Linked DNA regions of Drosophila melanogaster. The protein of the gene in region 2 interacts with the protein of the main gene of each other region in a pairwise test. Each region holds a gene or a part of one and is shown on either strand. Other genes may lie near its edges.

The links.
Region 1: the proteins of CG15576 (region 2) and CG1314 interact in a two-hybrid assay, tested with the Drosophila melanogaster proteins (one large-scale study listed by BioGRID).

The regions. Positions count from the first base shown.
Region 1 is NC_004354.4:20,867,424-20,871,410, forward strand, and holds CG1314 (uncharacterized protein), read right to left. Parts: upstream 1,975-3,987; 5' UTR 1,917-1,974; coding exon 780-1,916; 3' UTR 566-779; downstream 1-565.
Region 2 is NC_004354.4:4,251,202-4,254,530, reverse strand, and holds CG15576 (uncharacterized protein), read left to right. Parts: upstream 1-1,740; 5' UTR 1,741-1,892; coding exon 1,893-2,264; 3' UTR 2,265-2,661; downstream 2,662-3,329.

The DNA.
Region 1 (3,987 bases), about 17 Mb from region 2:
AACACCCCTGTTCACAATTTCTGCGGTCTTGTTAGTCTGGGCTGGCAAGTTGGTTAAAAAGTTGTTGATGCAGTTACTCCTCCTTCTGCCCGCCACGCCCCCTTTTGCGACGACATTTGTGCTAATGGCTGCCAACGACCTGGACAGCAAAACCGAACAGCCCTTGTCCCCCTCTTTTACGACGCCCCTGCCCCACATGGCAAACATGTTGCATACGCTGCGGCGTAAGCGAAAAATTTCCAGCGAACAGCTTTTTGGCCAAGCAAACACACAGCGGGTTAAGTGGGCGAGTTTGCCACAACATTTGTGTTCAAGAATAATTAAATTAAGCTGTCAGTCTGACCGAGAAAATTGCAAATACACTCAACATTATGATGCACTTTCAAATGTACACATACCATACATACAAGTTTGAACTCAAAGGGCCGATTTAATGGCAGTTCGAAACTATTATTTATTTTATTTTATTATCGACTAAACAATTAATTATTTAAACCTATTGAACGATGTAAATGGCACTTTCAAACTAATTTGTCATCGCATTAATTAATAACAATTTAATTTTAGTTCTAATAAGGAATTTGATCTTTACTGATACAATTTTGATGAAAATTTACAAGATTGCATATGTTGAATTGCTTATGAGATATGGTATTTCGTCCAAGTACAAAGTGATCCAAAATAATTTAAAAAAACTTGAAACAATTTTTAGGTACAGTATCAAAGTAATGCAAATAATTTTGAAAAATCATTCCAAAAATCATTGTGATAGACTGCGTTTAGTTCGCTTGAGGCCCTTCTGAGTTCCCAATAAATACCTCCTCCTTGGAGGTATTCTCCTTTTCCGCAAGTTCTATTTCGATGTCGTCTTCGCGAAAGGTGCCCTCATTAGGATTAGGCGATATGGGCCCCACTCTACCCTCATCCTCTAGAATGGTGAACTGTAGGTCGACGTCCAGCGTGTAGTCTTCAGTGTGCTCCTTCATTTCGCGATGTGTGAATCGCATAAAATGCGGACTGTCCGAAAGCAGATCGCAATTCTTCAGGGTCTCCGAGCCTTGACAGGTCTGAATCATCTGCCGACGTGGCACTCCCGGAGTGTTTTCTCCGATATTCACGGATACCAACAAAGGCGTCTGGGCCTGGGGACAGCACAGCCACAGAATATAGATATGGGTCACTCGCGGTCCGACGGGCATCGAGTCCCAGGAAGTCTTCCACAGCATTATCAGGACGGGCAATTGGCACTCCCAGTCCTTGTAGATATTGGGTAGATTTAAGTTCCTGGTCGCGTTGTTGCCACTCTCGTAGATCATCAGACCCACACAGTTGCTTTTGCCCCTGTCCTCGGGCAAGGATTTTCCACACAGCTTCAGAACCTTTGGCTCCTTGGGCTTCATTTCCATTGTAATAATGTGCTCGTGGTGCATCAGGCAGTGACTTAGGAGCTGCTCAGGATTGAACATCAAGTCGCAATTGCTCAGCGGACAAGCCATGTCCAGCTTCTGCAATCTCCAGTATTTGCGCACCTCGACTGCAGTATTTCTCAGCCGCTCATAGCGAATTTCCGGAGAACTGATTCTGCCATGTGGGGAAGCGGAAATGGCTTCTGCGCCGCCGCGCATGGGCACTCTTCCGCCCGCCGGAAGAGACAGCTTGCAGTCCATATACAAGCGCCTACGGTGATCGGGCATCAAGCTGGTGAAGCAGATCTCCACCTCCTCATCGGTATCATTACCATCGTTCTCGTTCTCCAGACGACATGCACTCGCCATCACAGCTTCCGGCGTGGTGTCCAGGGAGTACTCCGACTGAGCGAGATCCAGGACGGCAGATATACCAATGCCAGACTCGGAGCACCTACAGAATGCACCGGATGTCGATGGTTGCTCGCCCTCGCAATTGTTGTTCTCCATTTAGGAATTTTTAAGAAAATGTCGGTTTTTTTTTTTTGTGATTATAATTCTGTGTGAGTCGAACTGTTGACGTCTCGACGTAAAATTATACTGATGACAGAAGGTTAGAACAAATGAAATCAACTTTTGATTACTTATTTCACAAACTACTTGTTTATTTTTTTTTTCTAACGGTTTCAAGTTAATATTATGTGATTCTTTTAATGAGTTCCATGACGGAGTCACGAGCGTGGAATTATCGTCTTTAGAAGAGATTCCTAGACTGCAACTGAGACAATGCTATCAAAACTCTGGAGAACATTTTGTTGCATTTGTAATTTCCGGTTTCGCACACACATGCATACATAGTTGAAAAAGAAAATGCGAAAGAAAAATGTGTCAACATACAAGACAAAGCAAAACACAAACAAAACTCAAGTTGCCTCTGTAGAACAACGAAATGCAACTAGGGGTAAAAAGGGGGGAGGGGGAATCGCTTCCAAGGGAGAGGGCAACAGTCGGACTAGGACTGCAAACTCCCTGTGGCCACCCCCCTCCCACGCCACTACTTTCGTCCACCTCCCACTGGCAACTCCTTTAGTTTCAAATCGACAATGGAATGAACCGCCGCAGAGGAAGTGCGGTCTATTGCAGTAAAATCGGAGTTCAATCAACATATGTCAAGACCTTCAATAAATTTAAAAGATTATGACTGATTAAATCAAAACAAATTTTAAACCAATTTCATAAACCAATTTCATAATAACACTGATTATTTGGATAGCTTTTGTTAATTTATTCACTGTAATATGTATTAGATATTTAAAAACTTCTGTATAGCAAGTGTATATTTAAATTGATTCCGATTGTAATTTATTTAAGCTAATGAGGACAAGATGCATGAAGAGATAAAAACATAAATGAAGAACGTTATTTCAATTAATAAGTATTTTTTGGGACCTTTTATACATTTATGTCGCGCAACTTGGTAACAATAATAAAAACGAGCTGAGTCACGTGCTCGCGCCGTTTGTTTATGGCTTTCTCCCTTTTACTTCGCTTTTACTTCATTAGTTTCGAGGGGAAAACTCCACCTCTCTTTCCTTAGCCATGCTCCCTGGGTTTTCCGCTCTTCCCACTTGGTATCGCTTTTCCTTTTCGAGCTTTTGAGCTGCAATTGTCAGCTTACAGTGCAGCCAACCGCAAATGGCAAACAGGCCAAAGCCGCTGTATCTCTAGATTCGATGATATCTTTAAGACGGATTTTCATTGCTTACCGTTTGCTTTAATTGAGTTTTTACAATTTGATATCTACCTAAAAGGAAAGTAGCCTTCTTCATCATAAGCAACCCTCACCTGAAACAAATAAGAAAACATTTTTGTCAGCGAATCAGCATTCAAGAAGTGCTTGTATTAAGAACCAACAAGGAAAGGATTTTAAAAGGTCAATTGAAGAAAATTCAACTTTGAGCTCGCACATTTGCACGCACACAGACCCCCGGGATGCAGTGGGGTTAAGCGAAGGGTTCATAAGGCACATATCCACACATAAAGATTTCCATTTCCCTGCTGCTGTCTTGACAACAACCCAGACAACAATGTGTAAAACAATTGTGCTCGCAGTTAATTTGTGTGGTACGACAATCTAGTATCACCTCAGCACTCGAAGAAAAAACGCGCAGAACATGGGTTCTCTTATCGAAAAGGATGGAATATCGACAAGGAACCATATATTGAGCAAAGTAAACTGCGCTAATATTGTCATTATCTCCAAAGTTTATTAAGCATTTAATGATTTTAATTGCGAATATCGCCTGAAATTTTGTTCGCTTGCTGAATGCTCAGTGTATGCTGTATGATAATATTACTGCGAGTGACACTCGCACACATGGCGTATACGCAATGTGCCAAAGTTTATACGAAATTAATGTTAATTACGACGCGAGTATAGCTATCCATCTCAGTCGCACGGTCGTGGCAGCATCTGTGTCCTGTCGGGAAGTGGGCGGAAAGTGTGGGTGGGAAATGGAAAATGGCAGGGAAATGGGGAATGCAATTTGCCAGCAGCGCATTTAACAAGCTGAACGCGCTT
Region 2 (3,329 bases):
GACATTCTCGTCCTCCAGAGTGGGGATTCTCGCAGCTGTTGCATTCTGGGCCTAAACTGTGCGTCTACTCAACCACAAAACACACAAGTTCCACTCGGCGAAATCCTGCGATGAGGAGATGAGGAGGTGCCAATATATGGAGCTGCCACAAGGGGCATAGTGGAAGGGCGCCCCGAAAACTCGCAAAAGTTTGCTCCAAAGTCCAACATATGTTGCCTGTTCATGCATGCCCTCGTACTCCCCCTCTCTCCACGTCTCCCCTTCCAAATTCCTTGCCCTGCAGTCACTAAGTTAGTCATACAAATGGAGAAAATAGATGACAGAACCATGTTAAAATAATGGTATGAAATAGAGGTTGTAAAATCGCAAAAAAATCGATTCAAACATAGTTAAATCATTGATGAAATCTTATGATATTTAAACATAGACAATTTTCATTAATAACGAAGTCGCTTTTATTTCTTTAAGTGCACGACTTTCATACACATACGGCCATCCAGCACGTGTGCCAGTGTGTGTGTGCCAGTGTGTAATTATAACAAGTTTTCTAGGCAATTTTTCTGTTTTCCTTCTCGTTTTTCGCCCCAGAATCTCGCTAGTTCCCCCGTTCTTTTATTTTATTTTATTTTTTTGGGAACGCTTCTGTTGGGTATCTGAAGAGCAAGAAGTAAGTTTCTGATAAGAAAGTTATGATGAGTTTTCTTCACTCACACAGCGAGCAGAAGATGGCAGCACATGTACACACAGCTGTTGATTTTGGCCAAATTAGTGCAAACACGTCTTGTTTTGAGTTGTGGCCCATGTGGAACATGTGCAACTAATTTGCAGTTATCAAGAGTTCTGCCTTCGACGGGGTTGAACGGATGAGCTCGTGGTCAGATGTCTGTATCTAATCCATCTGTTGGGGCATTGATTTTGGCATCCCAGATACATGCCACCAAACCCAATCCACCCACCATTGTTAACAAATTTCCATTTCCGGTGGTGGCCACAAAAAGCGAAAGGTGTGCGGATGGGCTTTTTCGGGCGGAGTTGGAGCTCGGAAAACCCCGCTGGCCTGTCTGCCGACTGTCAAAAGTTTATTTATTTGACACCGAAAAAGTTGACACAGACACCAGGCCGGGGGCGTGACTTTGTGCCTGAATCGGATTTATATGCCTGGCCAAAATTGGATTACAATTGAGTTGTAATTATGCGACAACAAAACGTTGCGTTCGAGGGGATGCGGATCCTTTTTGGGGTCCTTTGGAGCTCACCGCCTCTGTGTTCTGTTTTCCATGTTGTCGGCAATTTGAGCCAAGCGCTTGCTCAACGACGTCTTTTGAAATTTCGCATTTTGCATTAATTAAAACTGATTTAATTAAAGCTTGTCGTGTTGCTTTTAAGTACTTCAGGAACCAGGATGAGAGTAACAGGTCCTCGAGCTAGGACATCCACTAGCGCATCCAATCCACCCCATGAAAATGATTGAAGCGAGAGACCAAAGTGTTCTGGACTTGTCTCCTGTCGCCCTCGCCAAAGATTCTTTGTCGTCTTTGAGTAGGTGAAAGTTTAATTAAATATGCATCGAGCGTACACAAGTATGTGTACTTGTGGGCCACATAGATCGCATAGATATTTCACCGGAAGTCCCCCAGTCGGATTATGTCGGAATTAGTTATCCAAATTTTTTGGTTATCTCTTATCTCTTGTACAATATTTCACATAATACCATTCCACAATTCAGCTTTATTTGTCTTGTCACATATTTCAGATGCTCAGGTCTCATTGAGATTTCTATCAATCGGTATTGTGTGCTACCGTGTCAGAAAAATATTAGTTATTCGAAATCCCCAACAGCAGCAGAACGTTTCGATCGAAATTTCAGTAAGAACAGCTTTAAAATATTCAAAATGAATCCATTTAGGCCAAATCCAGGTCAGAGTTTTCGCATTCGCTTGAATATGGATCGCGTGCCGGGCGAAGAAGAGCGCAATATACAGCCATCGACTGATGAACGTCGAATCACCCAAATTCCACCGATTCAATTGCGCATCGATCATCAGCGGGATGTGAATCGTTTCATGATCAATATGCGTGTAATGCTACATCGACGGAGGACGGAATTAAATATGGGAGGCGGCGATAGTATCGGCGTGTGGAACTGGAGGGAGCCTCCGATGCCAAGCGGTTTGATTGGCGAGGGCGATTGTGATGGCGGTGGCTATGGTAATTACGCTGGTGACTATCATCCACCATTGCGGGGACTGCCACCAAACCCCTAGGATCTGTACCTTCTCTTACCACACTTGCCATCACTGTCTTTTGCCTCTCCCCTTCCTGTGCGTGTGTGATGTCCTTTTTTTCATTTCTGAGCGTCGTCCGCAAAAAAGAAGAAAAATGTCATCATCAGCTAAAAGGCCCGAAACCCCAAACACAATCCACTACCACTTCCATTCTCATTGCCACCTGAACCAGTAACCCTTGGAGAAGAACGGACCCTGTTCGGACGCATGTTGTTCTATTATTATATCCCCGTTGAGTTCTGGGTTGATGATTTTTCCATCTCCCCAAGAAAATTGATGGGCTTTGGAATTGGAGGACATGCCGAGCCCCGGACGCATATAATAATTTCCTGTTCAATGAGCAATTATCGTAATAAAGATACAATTCCGCTACTCTATATTATATTCGGATACGGGGATGACAATGGTGGTCAGTGGGCAACGATGGTGGCCAAGAGGGGAACAAGCGCACTGACGACAACGATGATGATGATGACTGGTCTCTTCCGCACTGATGTGATGGATTGAGCCCCAGCTCAAGTCTGATTCCTGTCTGTCATGTCACTTTTTCCATGGGGTTAATGGGGGCGTGACAAACATACGGGAAAAGCGCACGGAAAGTTGATTGAACTGCACTAGTTAACTATTCCCCGAAATGACTAGCATGCCATTTCAATTCTAGATGAATTTGACCCCAATATAAGCACTTCATTTTACTTACTTCATCCTAAAATGAACTTCTCAATGAAAGCTTCTATTTTAATGCATTTATTCTGAAATTCGTACATACATAGATTGTAGACAAATCAGGATGCCAATTGAAACAGATTTTGCCCTCTCAGCTGTGACATTTGCATAATCAAAGAAAATTTCGAGCGCAGCCATAGGAACTTTAGTGGGTGTTTGACTTTCATTATAGCCTTCTAGCAGCTTTAGGACTTCCCAATCACTGAGACCAACTGGCAGGGACTCGAGAGTATCAATTCGGGTAGATAGATGCCGTCCTTTATTCTATTTATTCTGGTTTTTTTTTTCCCCCTGCCATTAGCAGGCGACGTCAAGCTG